3 linked regions of the Macaca mulatta genome follow. The main gene of each other region encodes a partner of the protein of the gene in region 2 in a complex. Links are inferred from orthologs where the notes say so. Each region holds a gene or a part of one and is shown on either strand. Other genes may lie near its edges. The genes, in order: MAGEA4, RAD18 and UBE2B.

The links.
Region 1: the proteins of RAD18 (region 2) and MAGEA4 are in contact, whole or in part, in a crystal structure (PDB 9BD3), measured with the Homo sapiens proteins. The link is inferred for Macaca mulatta from reciprocal best matches to the Homo sapiens genes RAD18 and MAGEA4. Residues at the interface, in NP_064550.3 of Homo sapiens: Ser348, Phe350, Gln351, Leu353, Val354, Gln356, Ala357, Arg358, Lys359, Gly360, Tyr361, Lys362, Lys363, Ile364, Ala365; in NP_001011548.1 of Homo sapiens: Ser111, Val114, Asp115, Ala118, His119, Ser158, Lys160, Met161, Ile162, Ile204, Ile205, Gly208, Thr209, Met212, Glu224, Glu225, Val228, Met229, Gly230, His237, Val239, Tyr240, His290, Val291, Val294, Asn295, Arg297, Arg299.
Region 3: the proteins of RAD18 (region 2) and UBE2B are in contact, whole or in part, in a crystal structure (PDB 2YBF), measured with the Homo sapiens proteins. The link is inferred for Macaca mulatta from reciprocal best matches to the Homo sapiens genes RAD18 and UBE2B. Residues at the interface, in NP_064550.3 of Homo sapiens: Tyr342, Arg343, Lys344, Lys345, His346, Lys347, Glu349, Phe350, Leu353, Val354, Gln356, Ala357, Arg358, Lys359, Gly360, Tyr361; in NP_003328.1 of Homo sapiens: Pro20, Val22, Gly23, Val24, Ser25, Gly26, Ala27, Ser29, Glu30, Gln35, Asn37, Ala38, Val39, Phe41, Gly42, Pro43, Glu44, Glu49, Asp50, Lys54, Leu55, Val56, Leu73, Ser74, Asp151, Ser152.

The regions. Positions count from the first base shown.
Region 1 is NC_133426.1:158,172,752-158,176,017, reverse strand, and holds the end of MAGEA4 (melanoma-associated antigen 4), read right to left. Parts: intron 1,953-3,266; 5' UTR 1,880-1,952; intron 1,805-1,879; 5' UTR 1,740-1,804; coding exon 786-1,739; 3' UTR 635-785; downstream 1-634. UniProt on the Homo sapiens protein: Regulates cell proliferation through the inhibition of cell cycle arrest at the G1 phase. Also negatively regulates p53-mediated apoptosis.
Region 2 is NC_133407.1:147,684,826-147,688,472, forward strand, and holds part of RAD18 (E3 ubiquitin-protein ligase RAD18), read right to left. Parts: intron 1,209-3,647; coding exon 1,025-1,208; intron 1-1,024. UniProt on the Homo sapiens protein: E3 ubiquitin-protein ligase involved in postreplication repair of UV-damaged DNA. Postreplication repair functions in gap-filling of a daughter strand on replication of damaged DNA.
Region 3 is NC_133411.1:143,289,990-143,294,357, forward strand, and holds the start of UBE2B (ubiquitin-conjugating enzyme E2 B), read left to right. Parts: upstream 1-1,537; 5' UTR 1,538-1,959; coding exon 1,960-2,003; intron 2,004-4,134; coding exon 4,135-4,215; intron 4,216-4,368. UniProt on the Homo sapiens protein: E2 ubiquitin-conjugating enzyme that accepts ubiquitin from the ubiquitin-activating enzyme E1 and transfers it to a E3 ubiquitin-protein ligase. In vitro catalyzes 'Lys-11'-, as well as 'Lys-48'- and 'Lys-63'-linked polyubiquitination.

The sequences.
Region 1 (3,266 bases), on a different chromosome or scaffold from region 2:
ACTCGACCACTCTCACCTGGAGCCCCATACCCACACTCCTCTTACTTTTCCTCTACATCTTAGAGGACATCTTGCCACCTTAATTATATGACTGCAGCTCCTAGATTCTAATACCCTATGGGTAGGTGTGTGTCTGGCTTACCCTAGTATCTCCACTACTAATCCTGGGTCTTCCACAGAGCAGATGCTCAGTGCATAGAGAAGAAATGAGCCAGTGAACACAGATAATTATTTATTCAGATTTAATTTTTCTTACATTCACGAAGAAGCCAAGGAAATCCAAGTATGCGTATATATTTTTTAAATTTTACAGAGTAGACTGAGTATGTATAAGGCAGGAATTAAGTATTTTTTAATTTCTTTATCTCACATATCTTACGGTGAATTCACATTTCTAAATAAATACTTACTCCACTGCTGTTATTATGTCCCAATTTACAAAATAGAATGGATTTCCCAATCTGAATAAAAAACAAGACTCTTACACCTAAACTATATAAACAGCAATATATGTGACTACGACTCATAAACTTGGATGCTGAAGTTCATTCAACCATCCATTAAAAGGAACATTTGAACAATTCTAAAAGGAAACAGAGATAAATCTCCAAGTCACCCAATAAAACAGAAACTCACTACTAAGAATGCTGACTACTCTCTTCAAACAGTGAAGAATGGGCCTCATGCTACACAAGGCAGGGGAAGCTGCTGCACAGGGCAGATGACTGGCCCAGCCCAGCCGCCACCCCCCCACCCCCGCCCCAGGCCCTGGCTGCAACTCATGCTCAGACTCCCTCTTCCTCCTCTCTCAAAGCTGCTTCACGAAGGGATGGGTAGGAAATGCGAACTCTTGCATTGACCCTGACCACATGCTCCAGGACCTTCACATAGCTGGTTTCAGCCAGGGCCCTTGGACCCCACAGGAACTCGTAGCGTGCAGGATCACTGCCGGGTACCTTCCGGTACTCCAGGTAGTTCTCCTGCACCCACTCTTGGGTGAGCAGTTTCCTGGGCTCCCCATAGACACTGTGCTCCCTCCCATCATACACATCCATCACACTCAGCTCCTCCCAGATTTCCTCCTCAGATGCAGAGTCGCCCTCCATTGCGATAGTGCCCAGGACGATTATCAAGAGGCCTGTCTTGGGAAAGATATGATTACCACCCAGCAGGCCATCGTAGGAGAGGCCCAGGCAGGTGACAAGGGTGTAGGTGTTGCTGGTGGGGTCCACTTCCTTCACATCAATGCCAAAGATCATCTTCAGGGACTCAGAGGCTTTGCCGAAGATCACAGGAAAGCAGTGCTTGTAATTTTTGATGACTCTCTCCAGCATTTCTGCCTTTGTGACCAGCTCCTTGGCTCGATACTTGAGGAGCAGAAAATGAACCAACTCATCCACCTTCTTACTGAGTGCTTCTCGGAACAAGGACTCTGGGTCAGGAGAGGTGCTTGGCCCCTCCTCTTCTTGGCTGCTGGAACCCTCATTGGGTTGCCTCCAGCAAGTGAAGTTGACGGTAGAGGGTAAGGCGGAGGCTCCCTGAGGACTCTGGGGAGGACCTGTTGACCCAGCAGCAGGCACTTCCTCCAGGGTGCCAGGGACCAGAGGAGAGGAGGAGGAGGCAGCAGCCTCCTTCTCCTCAGTAGCAGGAGCCTGCGCACCCACTAGGCCCAGGGCCTCTTCTTGGGCCTCAACGCCTTCCTCAGGCTTGCAGTGCTGACTCTTCTGCTCAAGAGACATGATGACTCTGGTCAGGGCAGCAGGTGGGAGTGTAGGCAAAAGCTGGGCAGTGGGGACCCACAGGCCTGGGGAGAGAGGGAGCATGTGAGAGGCCTCAGCTGAGAACCGAATCTTGGAGGCTCTAACAAAGGCTTACTTACAGATCTTCTCCTTGGTGCTCCTCTGTGATCTCCAAGGAATCCTGTCCTCCGGGTTGGCCTATCCCCTGAGAACCTAAAGGAGGAAGTGAGAGAGCACCTCAGGGTATAGCCGGCCAGCAGAGGTCGATTCTGCAGGACTAACAGGAGGTGAGGTCAGACTCTCTGAAGTTCCACGTGTCCTATGCCAAGTGGGGCCCTTGGTGTGCATTCAGGGCAAACATTCACTGCTGGCACAGCCTGTGCACCCTCTGCTCTGTGACTTGAGGACACAAGTCTCAGACCAAGGCCTCATTGCCTTGTTCCTGGAGCTCCTAGGAGATGAATCCATGGGCCCTTAGGGTGCCGACTATAAGCACAGCCCCAGTCCCTCAGTGCTATCAAGAGGGCAGGCTGGACTCTGTGAGGTCCCCACTCTCATAGAGTGGATGGTCCACTCTGTGGTCACTCAGGGCCCTCACATTTCTCCAGGCAGGGCCTGGATTCCACCGTTTTGCTGGCCTGAGAAATTCAGATCAAGCACTCACATGCCTGAGAGGAAACAGGACATGAGGGGCCCCACATCTGGCCACATGTGCCTAGGTCCTCTGAAGAATGACAGCAAGAGATGTCAAAATTCATTGGAACCCATGTGTCCTGGGTGAGGAGCCTGCTTGGTCCTCACCTCAACTCCTGGCAGAGCCTGGGACCTTCCCTCTACTGACCTGGGTGCAGCCCCTCAGACCAAGGCCTCCCCCTCCGTGACATCAGTGATCCCAGGACAAGAGAGGGACCTCAGCAGACAGCCAAGCCCATGCTCTCTGGGGTGACAACCGGAGCAAGGCTGATTTCTGTGGAGTCATCGTCTGCGTTCTGGCCCTGTGGTACCCTCAATCTTCCCTCACATTCCTCACCAGGACTCTTGGCAGATCCTGGGACCACTGTGTCTGTTGACCAGATAGAGGTCTGTGTTGACCTGAGTAACCCTCTGAGAACAAGGTCCTAACCTCACTGAGATCTGCAATCAGAAATGAGGAGCCACATCCTGTCACCCCTGTGCGGGGAGTCCACAGCTGACCCCTTTGGTCCTGGGGTGAGGGTTCTGATGGCCTCCTGTGGGTCACTCATGTTTGCTCCCAACGGGGCCTGCCCTTCCTCAACCCCCAACCCCCTGAGATGAGCAGATATTGCCCCTTTACTCCAAGACCTCATCTTCCTGAAGGTTCTCCAACTTCCTGCCTATGGTACAAGTAAGATTGGCACATAAGGCCATCCCTGCTCTGGTCCCCCCGAGCTAAGAACAGGGGACAGCCAGACTCTGCGGGGTCCCGTCTTTCTGAGCCACAGGTATCCTCAGACCATAGCCCTCTCCTCTCTGTGACCTTGAAGGTGCAGGAAGCATGAGCTACAT
Region 2 (3,647 bases):
CCTGGCCAACACGGTGAAACCCCATCTCTACTAAATATACCAAAAAAAATTAGCCAGGTAAGGTGGCACAGGCCTGTAATCCCAGCCACTTGGGAAGCTGAGGCAGGAGAAATGCTTGAACCTGGGAGGTAGAGATTGCAGTGAGCTGAGATTGCACCACTGCACTCCAGGCTGGGCAACAGAGCAAAACTCCATCTCGAAAAAATGAAAAAAAAAAAAAAGTATTCAATAGGAACAAAGGAAGAGCTTTACCATAGCATCAGGCACGTAAGTAGAACACTGGAAAAAATGCAGAGCTCTAACAGAAACTGAAGGGTCTGGTAATTTATGGTACAGAGACATAACAAAATACTGTACTCATTTAAAAATAACAATTATAAACATAAGGTATTATGTTGGTGCAAAATTAACTGTGGTTTCAATTACTTTTGTGCCAACCTATAGAAATGTTAACATTTATGACATAATATTAAGTGAAAGACCAGAACAAAAAATGGTATGTGTGCATGCATGTGTGTAAAATAAACCCTATATATTTTTAAAATATCTTTTCAAAATGACTCATTACCAAACTTCTCATTTTTAAAGTTTCCCCATCTATTTACTCAGTTAAATTTTTCATTTCTTAACTCTCCTATGTGCCATGTCTTTCTGATCATCTCTGTTTTCCAATACAGTTGTTTTTATCTCCTTCACTCATTGTCTTGACAAAAATTTCACTGCCTATCATGCTTTCTTTTCCAACGGTAGGAAAAATATCTATAAAAAGGCTATAGAGCCTTTTTATATCTATAAAAAGGCTATATAAAGCCTATACCAAACTCACCCTCTGATCCCTGTACTTCCTTCCCAAATCCTGCCTTGTTACCACTGTGAAGATGACCCAGCAGTAAAAGGGGACTGAAATGTAAGAGTGACACACCATACCATGCCTCAAAGCTACTTTCTAATTATTTCTGCCTAACTATCTATGTGTGCATATGAGGTAGATATTTAAAATAATCAACTCCTGCATGTTTCTTACCTATTGCATGAATCGGATTCTGGTGAAGAAAGAGCTTCTTGAATATCAGTACAGCTAGAAGAATCCTCTTCTCTGTCAGGTTCCAATTCCTCTGCGGAGTCCAGCTTTGATTGAGAAAAGTGGTTTGTTACCAGCTTTGATTGAGAAAAGTGGTTTATTACTGAGGTCATATTATCTTCCTGTCCTAGGAAAAAATAAATTTAAGAGTACGTTAAAATCTACAACTTCTGTACGCCTATTACTTCTGCAACACTTAATACTACCATATGCACTTAGTAAAGTTGAAGAATATGTCACATTGATTCCAGAACTCTAGTGACAGCCAGAGAGCAAGAATTAACACTACAATGGTGCTACCTAATTATACTATCCAGCCCATGTTTTTCCAAGATTAATTAGTTTAAAAATAAAATTTATTTTAAAACCAGGAGCAGGAAGAATCTTGTAATTCTAATGAGGCATCTATTAACATATCACTGAGGAATTCTTGCATATTTCATAGATCAGAGAACACTGACAAACCAACGTAAGATATATAACCAAAAAAAAAAAGACTACAGATTCAACTAATAAGACAACCACAATATATGTCACTACTATATGATAGTGAATCTATCTGGACATTTTTCTAAACCTGTTAAATAGAATCTAATTATTCTCTATGGAAAAGGACAACTAATCAGACATAAGGAATATTTCCATTTGATCCAATATACATCACATTTCCATGCATTCTTTGTCATATTCTCAGCTTTTAAGGTCTCTTATTGCAGATAAAAATAAAGACCCCAAAAAGCTGGAAGGATGCAGTGTTTACAAAAATGTGGCATATGGGAATGGCCAATTTTCTACAAATATGAGCGAGAAGAATATCTGTGAAAGATTCTTTAGTGCCCAGGATTCTCCTACTCATCATAAACTCTGCTGGGATTTTCATCTGTGCTGTCCTTAACTTTCAGGAACTGAGGAGGTACTTTCGCATGTAAGCTACACGTGCTAATAATAGTACAGAGCTCCTTTCATGTGTTTCCTCACAGAGAAACAGAGCTTTCACACATCACTCCTCAAGCACTTGTAGAGGCAAGTGGTCTTCAACGAAGCACAATAAAAATACAATTGTCAAGGTTTGTTTATACAGAGAGAATTTATGGGGAAAGAACATAACACATTCTTCAAAAAACCTTGCCAAGTTCACACAGTCAAATTTTTTTCAGAAATAGTTCTAAGTTTTTGTTATAGCGGGAGAACAGCATACTTCACAAGAGTATAATTCCTAAAAATATGCTCCTAATGTCATCTGGCTATCAATAAACTATCATTAGCAAAACAAAACAGCACCCTCTAAAGTATATCTGGAAAAGAGAAAAAGAAGTTAGCCAGGATGACCATCCTGAACCTCTAAGAACTCCTCTTGTAAACAGATACCAGGATCACATTAAGAGGAGCCAATCCCCCAGTCAACTCGGTTCACCCAGGGACTATATTACTCAACTAGTGAGGCGCATGCAAAAAAGCTGGCAAACCAGGGAACAGGAATTCAACTGAAAACAATCTTTTATTTTTGCACATTGTCTGTATTCTTTTCTTACTTCTTCCACTCTTACATACACTTCTAGACAATATATTCCTTCTTGGGGACAAACAGCATTCAATAATCTGTAGGCATAAAAAATAAGTTATCCTTCCTACCTGCCCTTAGATCTCAGAATGCAGGACTTCAAAATAGAGCCTCAGGAGTGAGGCTCAGACATCAGAGCTCCCCAGAGACACACAACAAAAACAGGCTAAGTTTTCACTTGAGAGAATATGCAACTTGTTCACTTACATGAGCACTTCAATGTTTGTCCTAAAGAGCAACAATTATATCGGTTGTATGATGCTATACAAAATTCATCTTTTTAGTCAGTCTGTGTCTGTCTTCACCTCTCTCACATTCCTTACCCTCTCAGACATCTCATTCATGCACAGCAATCTAAAAGCAGCAATCACCTTTGAACCCCAGAAAGAGTAATACTGATGTTCATAAATACATACAAGCCATCAATGATATTCAAGAGAGGTTCAACTAATAAAAAAAAGTTTTCTTAATGGGAAATATTCAGTCAGATTTTCTCAAGTGCTAAACTAGTTTCTAAAAATATCCTTTCACAATTGCATGAACAAGTTCGATTTGTTCAAAGACCATGAGTTACATACTGAGGCAGCACCTTATGCACAAATTGTTTATTAGTCACTAGGGAAATGCAAATCAAAACCACAATTACATACCATTTCACATCTACAATTTTAAAAAAATTTAAAAATCAGAAAATAACAAGCGTTGATAAGGATGTGAAGAAACTGGAACCCTTATGCTTTGCTGGTGGGAATGTAAGATAATGCAGCCACTACGGAAAAGTTTAACAATTCCTCAAAAGGTTAAACATAGAACCAGTATATGAATCAGAAATCCCACTCTAAGCTGAAACTTAGATATTTGAGCATCAATGCTCATAGCAGCATTATTTATAATTACCAAAAGGTGGAAATAACCATAACAGATAAATGGATAAACAAAATATGGCATATACATACTACAGAATACTGTTTAATCATAATAAGAAATTTTAAAATATGCTACAAC
Region 3 (4,368 bases), on a different chromosome or scaffold from region 2:
AAGGGTTTTTTGGTTGTTGCAGGGTTTGAGACAGGGTCTCAGTGGCATGATGATGGCTTACTGCAGCTCAAACGATTCTTCTGCCTCAGCCTCCTGAGTTGCTGGGGCTACTCGTGTGCACAGAGACAGGATCTCCTATGTTGCCCAGGCTGGTCTTCAACTCCTGGCCTCCCAAAGTGTTAGGATTACAGGCATGAGCTAATGCCCCAGCTCATGAGGGATATTTTTAAGATATAGTTTCTATTTACCATTTTTCTCCATGTAACCCTGCCTGTGTGTCTTCCTCCTTTGCTATTGGAAGGGTTAGGACTGCAATGGCAGAAAAGCAAAAACATTAAGAATATTCAGCTTTTAACTTAGAAAACACATTGTGAATGTCTAACAGGACCTATCAAGAGTTAGGCCTGGCTAACTTGATCACTAAGGCAGTCACTGGAAGCTGAGAGAATTCAGGGTTTGAAGAAAGAGGTACAAGGAAAGTCGGAAAAGTTAACTCTGCTTCCATAGAACTAGGGGCAAGGTTGAGGCAATGCTAAGGTCCTCATTCCACCCTCCCTTTACCTGTTGAACCGAACAATTCCCCAAATGGATACAAAAGTACTCAGAGTCCTTAGTATAACAAAGTCCTGAAAGTAGGAATTAGCAGCAATACAGGGAAAGACAGTAACTACAAAAAATATTCAAGGTCTGTGGGAGGTCAACACCTCTGAACCCCCTGGTGGTGGGGGGGCACTTCTCGCCCATTTGCACCTTTCTTGCTAGTGTAAAAAACCTGAAGTTGTCTCAGGCTGGATAGATAACCCTCACTCAGGTCTGCTGGAGCTCTCCCCCACATATGAATCATATTTGTAGGTTTCTTTGACAACCAACCACTCATTGATATGCTTGGAAGACTGCACCCCCACATTCTTAAAAATACAATGGTACTCCCCCCCATAGGCAAGTCCCCGGACTCTGACACATATCTTCAATTGAAAGCAGACCCAGAAAGGAAAAACTGCATAATACACCATCCTTTAATGTTTGCCCAGAATTTCCAATACTAGAAACCCCACTGCAAAGCAGAAAGACTATTTGGTAGCTTCAAGGAACCATTTCAGGAGATTGTTGTGTGGCCCTCAGTATTCAATGCTGCCTTAGAAGATCTTGCGATCCTCTCTCTTCTTGCCCCAAGTACCAGAGTTCATAAGCCACTGAACCAACCAGAGGGGAGTTATTTTTGGTCCCGGTTTAAAGAAAACAAAACAAGCTGTTGATCCTCCCACGACCTCTTGGGTAATGTCTCTATACCTGTGATAAACCGAAAACAACTAATAAAGGTGTATCCAGCCCTCACCCTCTTAGACCCGCTTCACAGACCTGGCCGAAACTCACATCCAGGCGAGGCTCTCACGTGACCCGTTCTAAACGCGTCACAGGGACACGTGGTTCTAGATACTTCTCCCCCTCCCCCTCAGGGGTGGATTGTTGACAAGGCCGCGGGCAGTCACGTGATCTTACATCATCCCACCTCCTTTCCCTGAAATCCCTGGCCCGGATACGTCCTTCTTTCTCCACCCCGCCGAGCCTAAACTAGAGACGGGGAGGCAGACAGGATAGTGTGTCGGTTTCGTGGTCTCTGAATCCACAACCTCTAGTCTGAACACAGAGAACACAAATTTGTCGATCACTTCAGGAAGCCCAGGAAGAACCACGCCCCGCTGAAGGGCTCAGGGAACGCGCGCTCCCCCGTCCCGCCCCCTCCTCCCCCAGCACTCACTCTGTGGTAGCGGCGGAGGGCGGAGGGATCCGGAGGCGGCGGAGGGAGACGTCATTGCAGGGTTGTTTGTCAGTCTTGGCGGCGGCGGCGGCGGCGGCGGCGGCAGCGGCGATCCACAGTGATTCGGCCGCCGCGCCGGGGGGTGGGGGGGCTGCGCGGGACTCTTTTCTTTCAGACTGACCGCGGGGCAGCTGCGGAGCATGTCGACCCCGGCCCGAAGGAGGCTTATGCGGGATTTCAAGCGGTAAGGGCCTTCAGCTTCGCATAGATGACGGCCTCTCAAAGCTGCGGGGCTGCAGGGCGTGGATCCCGGACACCTTCCCCTTGTGACCCTCAGAGGGTCGGCTGTGGGCCCAGGGGGACTGGCGGAAGCCGGGTCCTACCTCGGCCCCTACTCTCCTTATCCTTGCCGCTCGCTCTGGCGCCCGAAGAAATTTCGATACTGCTTCCCCTCCCCCCAAAAAGTAAAACGATGTCGATCGACTGGTCTAGGGTTCCCCGCTGCCCATTTCGGCCAGCTGCCCGGGGTCTCGTCCAGGGGATCAGACGGGGATCAGACATCATCCTCCCGCCCCTGCACCCTGCGGAGACCCTTTCTTGTCCCCTCAAAGTGAGCTCCCGCGGGAGCTTGTTCTTCTCCGGCAGCACCAGTCAGCTTTGTTTCAAGGCCCCTCAGTCTTCTCCGAGGAGCCGGGTTGGGGTGAACCTCCCCAGCCCCCCACCCCCGCCAGTCCTTTCCATTTCTGCCGTGAGGGTGGGGTCCAGTGCGTGAGGCTCGGAGGTTAACCCATCCCCCGAAACCCGACTCTGTCCCCGCCCGCCTGAAAAGACCTTGGGAACTGACTTAGAGATCTGGGACCTTAGAGCTGGCCACCCCGGCTGCCAGTGCCTTCTGGAACTCAGATCTGGCTGGTGAAGAAAGCCCTATCTATAGCCTCCCGAGTCTGGAAAAATGCCTTCCCTTAGACTGGCGCTAATTTGATACTCCCTGGGCCTTCTTTGGTAAATAAAATAGGGTTTTGTTAGGAGGTATTGGGGTTGTGAGGAAGAAAATGATTATTCCGTTAGTTTACCTTTTATTGGATACTTAGAGACGTAGAAAAAACAAAATAACGTAGAAAAAACAAAATAAGTGAGAAAACATTTTGATATTCTGCACATTTTTCTTAAAATTTTTTCTGGGGACACCTACCCTAATTGAACAAAATAGCATAAAAACATAGATTTGTCGCTCAGGAAGTCACCTCTCAGCTATTATAAAGCCTATGTGAGGCATTTGGATTTGGCCAACTTATTTAATTCATTCGTAGCTTCTCTTAGCCATTTAAAGGTAGGCGTCAAGCAGTGCAGTTCTTCTAAGGCTTCTGTTTGTGGTGGCCTAATTTGCTTGAGATTGACTAAAAACCTTTTTTTTTATGTGGACTAGTTGCAAATTATGATGCCCCATGAAAACAACTCCATATGTATTTGTGAGTGTGTATAATGTAGCATTTTTAAATTGAGGTTACAGTCTCTGAAAGGAGATGCCCTTTTTGGTGCAAAAGTCATTTTTCTAAAGCTTGAAATCAGTGTATCTGATTAGCACTCATGACTAAAATTCAGATAGTAAACTAGTTCATGTCATTGTCGCCCTGGCTCCTTACTGTAATGCTCTGCTTAATTCTGAGTTGAATACATGGCACCTTTTGTAGTTTTCCAGAGATCTATAGGTTACAAGAATTTGACTATGACGAATGTGGGAAAGCCTTGTATTGAGTCTCCTGATTTGAGAGGTAGATTTGATGTTAGTGCAGAGCCTTTAAAATAGGGACTGGCGGAAAACCTACTGATTACTTTTTAAAGCCATTGCTGTTTGAAGCAAAAGGGATAGAGTAAATCTGCTGCCTAATACTAGTTTCCTAGTTAAATTTAATGTGTTTTCAGTCATTTCGTGTTTACACTGAGGTTTGCTTTTTTTTTTTTTTCTTGTAGCCATTTTGCAGAAGTAGCCGTGGTTAGGATACACAGTCTTTGCATGTTTAGAGCAGCAAAATCAATGGTTCTGTAAAAATATTACTTGCTTTTGAGGTTTTAAACTTTTTTTGGTATAAGAGGACAGTCTATATACATCAATTCTTGAAGAGATACTCTTGATAATATTGAAAGAGGGATGATTCTCAAGCCCTTCGGATTTTTAGGTAATTTGGAGAGGTATTTAATAAGTATATATACCTGGTTAATATATCTAAGTCATATGGTTCATTTTAGTTCACAATAACAAGGAAATGGAGTTAGTCTGTGTCTCAAAATAGATGGTGTAGTGTCTGTAGGTGTTTATGTGGCCTCCTTAGTGGCCTTAATGTTCAACTTTTTAAATTACAACGCTGGATTTCTAGGTTACAAGAGGACCCACCTGTGGGTGTCAGTGGCGCACCATCTGAAAACAACATCATGCAGTGGAATGCAGTTATATTTGGGTGAGTTGAAAGGTTTAACAAATAATAGGTGTGTGCTGAATCTTTAAGAAAAGTGAACATATAACAACTGTCTAGGAAAAGAAACTGAGGTAGAATGAGAGATCTTAAGGACTAAAACTGCAAGATAAATTAGAAAAAAATTTTTTTCAATTA